3 linked regions of the Notamacropus eugenii genome follow. The protein of the gene in region 1 interacts with the protein of each later gene in a pairwise test. Links are inferred from orthologs where the notes say so. Each region holds a gene or a part of one and is shown in the gene's direction. Other genes may lie near its edges. The genes, in order: phospholipid scramblase 2-like, EWSR1 and CCER1.

What was found.
Region 2: the proteins of phospholipid scramblase 2-like (region 1) and EWSR1 interact in binary tests that used the Homo sapiens proteins (3 or more experiments, as listed by UniProt). The two-hybrid records come from large-scale screens. The link is inferred for Notamacropus eugenii from reciprocal best matches to the Homo sapiens genes PLSCR1 and EWSR1.
Region 3: the proteins of phospholipid scramblase 2-like (region 1) and CCER1 interact in a two-hybrid assay, tested with the Homo sapiens proteins (2 studies listed by BioGRID and IntAct). The two-hybrid records come from large-scale screens. The link is inferred for Notamacropus eugenii from reciprocal best matches to the Homo sapiens genes PLSCR1 and CCER1.

Annotation. Positions count from the first base shown.
Region 1 is NC_092877.1:335,160,531-335,164,274, reverse strand, and holds the start of phospholipid scramblase 2-like, read left to right. Parts: upstream 1-833; 5' UTR 834-915; exon of another isoform or gene 916-919; intron 920-3,447; 5' UTR 3,448-3,554; coding exon 3,555-3,617; intron 3,618-3,744. UniProt on the Homo sapiens protein: Catalyzes calcium-induced ATP-independent rapid bidirectional and non-specific movement of phospholipids (lipid scrambling or lipid flip-flop) between the inner and outer leaflet of the plasma membrane resulting in collapse of the phospholipid asymmetry which leads to phosphatidylserine externalization on the cell surface.
Region 2 is NC_092875.1:16,382,380-16,386,123, reverse strand, and holds the start of EWSR1 (RNA-binding protein EWS), read left to right. Parts: upstream 1-1,478; 5' UTR 1,479-1,562; coding exon 1,563-1,575; intron 1,576-1,972; exon of another isoform or gene 1,973-2,369; coding exon of another isoform or gene 2,370-2,376; intron 2,377-3,744. UniProt on the Homo sapiens protein: Binds to ssRNA containing the consensus sequence 5'-AGGUAA-3'. Might normally function as a transcriptional repressor. EWS-fusion-proteins (EFPS) may play a role in the tumorigenic process.
Region 3 is NC_092874.1:273,284,150-273,287,893, reverse strand, and holds CCER1 (coiled-coil domain-containing glutamate-rich protein 1), read left to right. Parts: upstream 1-1,252; 5' UTR 1,253-1,864; coding exon 1,865-3,328; 3' UTR 3,329-3,436; downstream 3,437-3,744. UniProt on the Homo sapiens protein: Regulator of histone epigenetic modifications and chromatin compaction into the sperm head, required for histone-to-protamine (HTP) transition.

The DNA of each region.
Region 1 (3,744 bases):
GCTTCAAGGTTTTCTAACTAATCCTGATTTCACTCTTCTCACTAATCCCATCACACATCCATTTCAAATGTCCCTTTATTTCTTATCTTCAAGCCTTTGCCCAAGCAGGCTTGAGTACTGGGAATGAACTCCTGGCCAAAATGTAAGAAGCACCATGCTTCCTGACTTGGAGTCAGGAAATCCAGCCTCAGGCACCTAGCTGCATCTGGACAAGGCAGTCATCTTCTCAGGCTCAATTCCTTCATCTGTAAAATGAAGGAGTGGACCCTTTTAGGTCCTTTCCATCTCCTTCCTCCTATGATGGTTTATCTTCCTTTGAATCAGAGCTCCAACTCAGTTTCCTTCAATAGTATTCCAGGTCTATAGAAAACCTGCCCACGTGTGTCATTCCCTCCTATTGATATGAATCGCTCCAATTCACAGGCAAAAATTCAAGCTTCCCTCTTCTCTCCATTAGAAGGTGTTTCCAGTACCGTTAGGAAAGCAGCGTATACATGAGTGCCTCTTTTCACGATGACCATCAATTGATGTCTCAACATTGAATTTTATCTTAGACTTTGGAAAGGAATAGAGGTAACTACATTATTTTATGTAACATAAAAACAGAAGGAAGAAATGAAAAGTAGAGGGAACTGTCGTTCATCTCTCGTTCTTGAAGAGGACCAATGACGTCAGGAAGGTGAGTAAGGCAAGGCTGTGCAGTCACCAGCCTCACTCAAAAGGGAAGGGATACGGTTTATGAAAGTATGTTTTCAAAAGGACGTCTCCCTAGTGGTTCAATTGTATTGCAAGGGCGGAGACTGCTGGTTAGCAGCTTCTAGTTCCCTGGTTCGTTTTTCTTTTCTTTTTTTCTGTTTCCGCCGGTGGAGGACATTTAATCACAGTTCAAGAGTGAAGCCAGAAGATTAGATTCAGGTAGGTAAGTGTATGAGGGTGGAAACACCGCATCTGGGTCCACACAAGAGAACTCAGTGGGAAATACGTCTTTAGCTGTCATTCGTTTTCTGTTAGTGTTTTAGAGAGAAAGAGAGGGAGAGAGGGAGGAAGGGAGGGAGGGAGGGAGGGAGGAGAGAGAGAGAGAGAGAGAGAGAGAGAGAGAGAGAGAGAGAGAGAGAGAGAGAGAGAGAGAGAGAGAGAGAATGAGAGAGAGAGAGAGACAGAGACAGAGAGAGAGAGAGAGACAGAGACAGAGACAGAGACAGAGACAGACAGAGAGACAGAGACAGAGACAGAGAGAGACAGAGAGACAGACAGAGACAGAGAGACAGAGACAGAGAGAGACAGAGAGAGAAAGAGACGGGAGACAGAGAGGGGAGACAGAGAGGGGAGACAGTTGGGGGAGAGAGAGTCTACAGGTCGGATTCGAAGTGGAGTGAGCCGGAAGCCCCTCAATTCAGGGAGAGGGGAAGCAAGGGGAGGGGGTGGAGTGTGTCTGCTGCTCGGCTTTATTAGAGATCCTTGTGGGATTCCTGGGCTCGGTTGAGGGTGGGAAGGGGAAGTTGTCCCTCTGGACGTCTGGAGTGCAGGGGGAGGGGATGGATTTAGGGAGTGCGGGACAAGAGGAGGGTAGGAAGTGGTAGGTGTGGGACGTGACCTGAAGGTTGCCGGTCTTGAGTTCTGGTTATCTTTGGAGGCAAGAATGCCAGAGTAGTATGAGAACGATTGTGCTTGGAAAAATAAGGAACAGAAACAAGAAAAAAGAGACCGAAAGTTAAAAAGAAATAGTGAGTCTCCTGTAGCAAAAAGCCTGGATGAACGGCTGGCTGGCTGGCTGCTTACTGGAGTAGCTGAGCTGGTCTTTCCAAAATTGTGCAATCCCTAATCAAATATCTGAGCAGGAAAGAAAAGCATAGTATATGTAAACCAACTCGCACAGGAAAAATAAACTCCTCCATGCATACCTAACAAATGCTTCCCGAAGCCTGGAGCATGCAGAGGTTAATTAAAAAGAGGACAGAGGGCTTACGGCCTCCCAACCCCCAGAGACAGCCAACTGCAAGCTCTCATCTGAGAAAGTTGTGCAGTATTTTCTTTTGTCGCTGTAGCTTGGTCCTTATGCAGCGATGTCCAGCTCTTCATGACCCCATTTAGACTTTTCTTGTCAAAGATACTAGGGTGGCCTGCCATTTCTTTCTCCAGCTCATTTTACAGATGAGGAAAGGGAGGCATACAGAGTTTAGTGACTTGCCCAAGGTCACTCAGCTTGTAAGTGTCTGAGGGCCATCTGAGCTCAGGAAGATGAGTCTTCCTGACTCCAGGCCCTAAACTCCTTTCACTATACCACCTTTTTTCTCCTTAACCTACAGCTAAAATCTGCCACTCCAACTTCCAGTCAGTCAACAGTTTATTAAAACAGTCACTATATCAAGGTTCTATGCTAACAGCAAAGCAAAGAAAGACAAAAACAGTTTCTGTCCTAAGGATCTCATAAAGTACTAGAGAGAACACCATGCAAATAGATACAGAAGATATAATAAAGGCCAAAGGGGAACTTAGAGAGGAAGGCACTAGAACTCTGGGGAGGAACCAGGAAGGACTCCTTCAGAATGGGGGATTTTAGCTGAGTGAAGTTAGTGGAAAACTAGGAGATGGAGGTAAAGAGGTAGAGAATTTCAGAACTGGAGTTCACCCAGGAGACTGAACAAGGATTGGCTTTACTGCTCTACTAATTCTGAATGGAAGAAGTGTGATGCCTCTTCCCCTTGAATTTGTGCTACTTTGTCCAGTTAAGAGTCCTGGAATAAGGACCAAGGAAAAGTCATCTGGACGTACAACAAACAATTCCATTTTCTCATCCAAGGAAGTCAGGAAGGAACTAAGAAGAAAGGGGCAAAAAGGAAGGAAAGAAAAAGAGTAAGAAAGAAAGAAAGAGGAAAAAAGGAAAGAAAGAAGGAAGGAAAACTAAAATTATTTACTGAAAACTTCTTATGTGCTATTAGGGAAATGTGGAATGGTATGGAATACTCTCTCAAATGGCATAGTATACAATCCCTGCTGGTACAGAGTTAATATAGTCCAATTGTCCGTATGTTTTCATTTATTTTTTAATGATTCCTGGAAATCTTGGTATACTCATCCTCCTTTTCCAAGAACAGCCTTTCCTGTAGTCTTGGGAATTTTGTTTTGTTTCTGTCAGGGCTGTTTAGAGAACAATGATTCATTCAATGAGCCTTGCTCAGACAGAAGCAGTCAGTAAAAGCATCCACAGGTAATTTGTTTTCTTAATAGCAGAAGTTCCCTCTAATAGTATTTAGGTTTTCTCAGGATTATTGAGAAGGAAAAAAAGTAAATATCCACTAAGGATTAGAAGAGAGGAAAAAAGGAAAATTATTTATTCTCTTCATTGGCTAATAAGTTTACATAACTGGTTAATATACTTCATTGGTTAATACATTTATAAAAATAAACTTAAATTGGTTAATACACTGAACTTCCATATTTAATCAGTTTCCAGATGTGGAAGAGAATTGCTTTGCATAAAGCACCAACCAAAACCAAAATAAAAATATTTCAGGACACATTGGAAACCAAAATGAACTCACAGAGCCCAGATCATGTCTCTTTCCATCAACAATTTATTTCAGGATTATAAAATCATCATTTCAGCTCTGGAAGAGGTCAGTGTCTTATCCAACCACCTTATTTTACAAATGAAGGGACTGAGGACAAGGGAAACTAAGTAACTAGCCCAAGCTAACACAGGTCTTAAATGTCAAATGTTGGATTTGAACTCATGTCCTCTGA
Region 2 (3,744 bases), on another chromosome or scaffold:
TGATATTCCTTTCCACCAAGATCTTATTGTGAATATGCTGGAGAGGGGTAAAGGTCTATGAGTGAAGAAGGATGGAAATAGCATCGAGTTCTTTTCGTGCAGTGATTGGCTTTGCCTTTTTTTCTCTTCCTCTTCAAAAAATCTATATATACTTTTTTGGTTACAAGGCATGTCTCTCAGGTTGAGGACAAAAGATATGGGGGGAAATGTAGGTGATAGCAAAACCAAAAGGTATCGCTAAAAGCAATTTTTAAAATGTGGAGACGGCTTACATCTCTCAAAAGACAATGAATAAATAGAATTTGTTACAAGGGTTTTCTTTTTCAACAGGGCAGGAGACAGAGACAAGGCGAATTTTTGTTCATTGAAAAAAATCAAATTTTACTTAAATTTAAAAATTGAGTGCTGGCAGGAACCCCAGAAGGCATCTAATCCAATTCTCCAGCCTGCATTTTACAGGTGAGAAAGGTCGGACAATTTGTCAAGGTCACACAAAGCATCCTAGATTTGACTTCACGTCGGACACTTTCCACTGTACCGCGTGGATCAGAATAGTATGTGTCCAAGAGGATCCTATGGACTGGCTGCGAGTTCTTCTCCGGACCTCAGCTCCCTCTACTGTAAAGTGAAGGGGCTGGACTAAAAGAGGTCCGGCGACCGGCTGAAACTTTGAACCCAGATCAGGCAGAGGATCCATGCATTTGGAGATAGGCTTGGGGTGGGGTCTGAGTTCAAATACTGACGGTCTGGACAAGCCAGTCCCCTTATGGGTTTCCTCTTTTGTCCGGGTCGGGCCCCCTGGGCGGACTCGGGCCAGTCCCTTGTCCCCTCTGGGCCTCAGTTTCCTCATCTGTAAAGTGGGGCATGGAGGGGCTGGGCCCTCCCAAGGTCAGCTCTCCGGGAGGGGGAGTCGATGCCCCTTGGAGGGGCAGGAGGCTGGGGGGTCAAACCCAGACTTCCAGAGCCAAGGGTACAAAGACCCCCGGCCATTTCAAGACTCGGAAACTGATACGCCAAGTGCCATCGAAGCCCGGGCCAGCCACGTGGCTCTCCCTCTGGCGGAGCGGGTCCCAACCTGGCCCCCCCTCCAGACTCCCCCCTCCACGATTAGTCAGCAGTTGTGCCACGGCCCCAGGATCCCTTCCCCCAACGCTCCGGCTCGTCTTCGTTTTTCCTCGGGGAGGACTATTGTGGGACGGTCCCTAACAAACCCAGGACGGAACCATTCTTCCAATCTATGCCCCGTTGGGGAGTAGGATCGGTGACCGCCCCGCCCCCAGGGCTCGTTCGTAGGGGCGGTTCGTGGCGCTTCAGGAGATACTTAGACGCCCCCAGCCTCCCGACCCCACCCCCTCCCGACTGAGGCGAGAGTTGGGTCGGAAAGCCCTCCCCTCGCCTCTCTCCGTCTCCTTCGCCTCTTCCCCTCCCCCCCCGCGGACCAATCCTAGTGGTAGAGCCCGAGGTTGTGCGGTCCGCGCCTGCGCAGTGCGGCGCCGAGAGGGCAAGCGACCGAGGGAGAGAGAGACGGACGTTGAGAGAACGAGGAGGAGGAAGGAGAGAAAATGGCGTCCACGGGTGAGTATGGCGCCGGGGCCCCAGGGCACGCCGTGCCGGCAGCCGAGGGAGCTGAGGCCTTCGGGGTTGGGGGCGCCACCGCGGGGGTCTTCTCGGGGCCTGGGGGGCGGCGGGTGGAGGCGGCGCTGCGCGGCCGGGCCGCGGGGCGGGCTTGGGGCCTACCTTCGCCCTTCTTCCCTTCCCCCTCCCCCTCCCCGCCGCGGGCGGGTGGGATTCTGGAACCTTCCGCCGCCCCCCTCCCCCTTCCCGGCGCGCGGGCGGGTGGGCGGGGAGCGGGCCGGGTGGGGGCCTCGGCTCGTTCGCGGCGGGGGCGGGGGGCGCGCGGCGACGGCGGGGGCGCGCGGCGGGAGGGAGGGGGGCGGCCGTGCGCGCGCGCTCCCGCTCCCGCCGCTTCGCGCCCGGGTTCGCGTTGGCCCGGCCGGGCCGCCGTCGTCCGCCCGCCGCCGCTTCCATTGTGTCCCCGGGAGAGGCCTCCCCGCGGCCCGCGCGCACTTCCCGCCACGTGGGCCGGCCCCTGCCGGGACCCGCAGCCGCCACGCCCTGCGAGTGGCCGCTCCTCGAGGGCAGGCGCCGTTTGCTCCGCTGATGCCCCGGAGCCGCCCTGATGCCGGTGGGAGGGCGCCTCCGGGCGGGGAGCTGCCTCCGAAGGGGTTCCCCGGGGGCGGGACGGGGCTGGGGGCGTTAGCGGAGGACCTGTCACCTGCCGCCCCGCGGCGGCCGGAACCTGCCCGTTACAGCGGAGGAAACTGAGGCAGGCCGAGGCGGCGAGACCTCCCCCTCCGGTCTGGGCCGCTATGGCCGGTAAGCCAAGCCCAGCCCCTGCCCTCGAGGAACGCCCTGGGGGGGCGGCCGCCGCGGGACCCCCTGAGCCCGGGAAGGGAGGGCTTAGAGCGGCTTGGCCCCTCCAGCCACGAGTCCGCGAGGCCTTTGTCTGCCCTGCTCTCGGCTGCTCTCCTGGGATCCGTGGTCTGGACGGGAGGGGGCCCGAGGGGCCGCTTCGGGCCTTTTAATCCTGGGCTGGCGGACGCTCTCAGAAGTAAGCTGGAAGGGGAAGTGCTGAGCTCGCAGTTCTGGACGAGGGGAAGCGACTTGTTCGTTTGCCCAGATTTTGAAAGGGAGCTGGGATCGTGCTGCCTTTGGGAGAGACTGTGACTTTAGAACCCCTGGAGTGCCTTCGTGGGCCTTCAGGCGGTTCTGAGAGACGGAGTCCGCTGGCCCTACCGTCTCTGGGCGTTAGAGTGAAACAACGGTAAAATCTTGTTGGACTGGAGTTGGAAGGGATCTGCTCTGAAATGTAAACTGTCTCCACAGTTTTCTGTTATTAGAAGAACTTTGCGTTATCTTTTCCGCTAATTTGTTTTTTTGAAATTAGCAAATTCGTAGATAGGTAGAGGTACCCAGAGCCATGTATCTAGGTAGCTCAACTTAATGGTGTTTCCGTGGATTATTCGGAATCTCTGACCTAAAAAGAACAAAAGGCAGGACTTATCTTGAATTATGGCTAAGTAATATTTGTACTTTTTGGCTTCCAGGATTGTTGGAAAACCTGGGTTGATTAAGTGTATGACGAGAGAATCTTTTAGCTAGCTTTTGGGCTTAAGGAAAGTTGTTGACTTATTAAGCTCTATGCATTAGTTTAAGATGTAATTGCTGTGAAGGATTTCATGCATTTAGGAATAAGCCAATTCAAATGTAATTAGCTGTTCCCTCCAACTTTCCATGAATTTGTTTTATTTCCTGGGGGTATTTGGAGCCTCTTAAACTTAATGGTTGTGGGAGGGAACTGAGAGGACGTTACCCTACTTAGGTCTCTGCCCCCTATTAGATACTGCCCTGAGGCACTCTGGCTTCTGGCTTCTATCCCTCCGTTGAACAATAAAACCTGGGTCTTTAGATACAGACCTAAGTAAGATGGGAGTGACCCTAGAAAGAAACCTTTGTGTGAAATGCACAAAGAATGGGAAAGTGTTTTTCTTTGCACTCTACCTACATTTCTCCTTCATGCCTTTCGAAGAGGAATTGCTCCTGCCAAAACCTAGAGAAAGGGGGGAAGTAGATTTTGAAAGCTTCTCCTTCTCTCCTGCAGCATGTAGTATTTGATTTTGATAGCTAATCTAAAGATATACTTGTCCTTGATTGAATTCATTCGGTATAGGAGCATTGGGTGGG
Region 3 (3,744 bases), on another chromosome or scaffold:
TCTTCATGTCAGTGCAAACTGTTAAAACTCAGGGACCCCATACTAGTCTCAATTTTCAACCAAGACTTAAAAGAGTGATCTCAGCAGACTGCACATTTCCTACTCACTATGCTCTTTCTTGATTTAATGAAGGCTTGTAGAAACCAGCGTTCTCAGCAGGTCATGTTCTGTTCTTGCAACGTTCCTCTTATCCCTGCAAATAAGTGATTCTGAGAAATACATCAACCTTTTGGGATTGCAAGCCACAGCTCCGAATTGGCAGAGTAAGGTTTAATTGACTTTTGCTACCATAGGGCAAAAAGAGGCTGCAGATTTGAATCCTAATATCTAAATGGATGAGTGAAATGGCTTTGTGAGTTCAGTTTCTTTAATTAACTCACAGTGACTCAATGAATGAGTGAAAGAAGCATTTATCAAGCACAGTAAAAGGATAGGCAGTGGTCATTTTGATTCATGTGGCTAGACTGCCTGAAAAAACAAAACAAAGCGAAAACCAAAACTAAAACTAAACTAAACTAAACTAAATTAAACTAAACTAAACTAAACAAAAACAAAAACCCACTCAGCTTGTGGTGGTACATAAGGTCTCGGAAGGTACCTTGACCAAAGTAAGTTGAAATACATGTTTTGTCAATTGATACCACTCAGTCTCTCTGAGTTGGTTTCCTAAAATTGATAGATGGGGTTGATTAAATGAAGGAAGTGACCTGGCATATTGGGAAGAATATTGAATTTAGTATTAGACAAACTTCCTATGAATTTCAGCTCTGCTTCTTACTAGCTGTGTGACCCTGGGCAAGTCACTTCCTCCTCACTGGGCCTCAGTTTCTGAATCTGTAAAATGAAAGGGGTGTTGGTGTAGGTACCAGATGATCTCCTAAGCTTCCTTCCATTTCTAAGATTTTTTAAGTTTACTCGAGGTTCTAAATCTGACCATCTCCAGAGCTCTTTAAACTCCTGAGGGCCAATCCTGTCCTTCCCCCCTTTCCAGAGCCCCCAAAAACCTAGTCTAAGGAACTCTGGAATTTGAGCTCCTTCTGAGTAGCCAACCCAGCCCTCATTACCTGCCCCTCTCCTTAGACCCCCTTGCCCCCAGCTGCGTCACAAGCCCCTAGAGAATACTCATACAACCCCTAGTTCTGCGGCCGAACCTCGGCTTCACACACTGGGAGCACAATCCAGCCCTCTGATTGGCTGTTGCCAGGAGTAACCAGGGACGCTGTGGGCACGCGGGGCCCCCGGCCGGTATTTGAAGCAGCTCCGGCCCCGCGCCCCCCTCAGTCCGGCCTGGACCGGCGACCACACTGGCACCTGAGCTGAGAGAGGGTGCAGCAAGGTAACGCGCTCCCCCGGCCCACCCCCAACCCCCACCCCCGCATTACTGCGGAGACGGGTTTGTGAGGGAACGGGAAGCGGGGCTCACAGCGCGTAGCTCACCAATAAACTCCCCTCCCCCCGACCATCCTTACTCAGCCCCCCTTGCCCCACCCACCCATCCATTCATTCATCCATACACCCACCCTTCCATCCATCCATCTATACACCCATTCATCCATCCATCCATCATCTAGCCTGGGAGAGGTAACTTCTCAGGTGCGAAGGCAAAGAGGAGGGAAAATAAAGAAGTCAGGGAGAAAGAAGGCTAGAAGGACGAGCGCAAGGCAAAAGGGCCTTTTGGAGAGAAGACCAGATCGCAGAGGGCAGGCCCACGTGGGGCGAAAGCGGCGTCTCCAGGTGCAAGGTGCAGGTGCCACCCAAGATCTTCGGGGGTCAACCCCTCTTCGCCCTGTGGCCCCGCTCTCGCAGGGTTGGGGTCCACCAGCATCATCTACAGCCCTCAACGAGACAGCTGTGGGAAGAAGGCATGGCCCTGGCCCTTGACCGACGGGCAGACCCGCTGAACCTGGGCGGCGGCTGGTCCTCTCCGTCTCCTCTCCCTCCTTGGTCCCCGTGCCACCGCCGGCGGAGGAGCACCTCGATGTTCCGAAGGCGCCACCGCTCTGGCCCCAAGCTGGAGTACCAGGAGCTGCGAAAGCAGGCGAAGCACCAGCATGAGTCGGGCCCACGGTGGCCCCATGCGCAGCGGCGCCCAGAGCGCCTGGCCAGCCCCAGCTGCTGGGGCCCCAGGGGCTGCTGGACCCCCTCTCCGTGGCGCTGCCCACCAGTGGAAGTTTGGAGGCCGCCGAGCGGTGTGCAGGTGGTGCGGGTGTACGGACTGAGGCCTCCCTGTCCATGCTGCTGCTCCTGCTGGAACGCGCCCGACCAGCCCGGCCCGGGGCGCATCTACCCCAAGAAGAAGAAGAAGCGCTGGGGAAGGAAGGGCAGGGGCGTGCGGCGTGGCCATCCCCGGCGCCCACTGCACAGCGGCCCGCCCGTGGACCTGAGCGCCCTGCTGCGCCCGGTCAACCTGTACGGCCGCCGGGCGCCCGGCATGCGAGCCCCGCGCAACACCACGCAGTTCATCATGAACCAGGTCTACGAGGACATGCGCAAGCAGGAGAAGCAGGAGCGCCAGCAGGAGGCCCTGCGGGCCAGGCAGGCCGCAGCCGCAGCCTCAGCGGCGGCAGCAGCAGCAGACGCAGCATCGGTCCCTCCAGAGTGCAGTGCAGCGCTCCAGCCCGTTCACAGCAGGGCCGAAGAGGACGAGGAGATGAGGCTGCTGCAGGAGACCTTCTACAGCTTTGTGCAGAAGCGGCTCTGCTGCCTCGTGCCCGGCCCCGCGACCGCCGGGGAGCAGGACGAGGACGAGGACCGGGAAGACCAGGAGGACGAGGAGGACGAGGACCAGGAGGACGAGGAGGACGAGGACCAGGAGGACGAGGACGAGGACCAGGAGGACGAGGACCAGGAGGACCAGGAGGATGATGGCCAGGAGGACCAGCACCGGAGGCACGCGCTCTGCCTTCCTCTGCAGAGGGAGGGAATAGAGGAGGAGGATGGGGAAGACGACGAAGAGGAGGAGGAGAAGGACGAGGAGGAGGAGGAGGAAGAAGAAGAGGAGGAAGAGGAAGAGAAAGAAGAAGAAGAGGAGGAGGAGGAGGAGGAAGAAGAGGAGGAGGAGAATGAGGAGGAGGAGGAGGAGCAGTACGGAGAGGAAGAGGATGAATCAGAGGAGGAAGAGCTGAGAGAGGAAGAAGAGGAAGAGGAGGAGGAGGACTCCGAGGAGGAGGATCAGAACCCCCCGCCCAGCCCTCCCGCCGGCCCTGGAGCCCCGGGAGCAGAGGAGCCGGAGCACCTTCTGAACTATGAGTTTCTGACCCGGGAGGGGAGAATCTTCCAGAAGCTTCAAGAGAGATTCCCCATGATTGTGAAGAAGGTGCTGTGTTAGACTGAGAGGGCAGGAGCAACGGGATGGAACTGACTGTTGGGTTAAAATGAAATTAGCATCTAAAAAATCTAATATAAAAGTGAGTTCCATGAATAAATATTATCTATGCGCACCCCTCCTTGATAAAATTGTAAGGTGATTAAAAGCATTAGTGGTGTTTGTGTGCAAGGAACAGTAGGGACAAGGAGGGAGGGAGGCCCCAAACCGGGAGTGTGGTGGTAATTGCTTTATAGGACACTTTTGTTTTAACTAAAGTATTTTATACATCTATTATATTATTATAGTTGTATACCATATTATTGTAATTATAATATAATATGTATGTAATTTAAATATATATTATATATCTTATATTATGATTATAATTTGTTATAACATGTTATATGTACTATATGTAATACATATATAATTATATT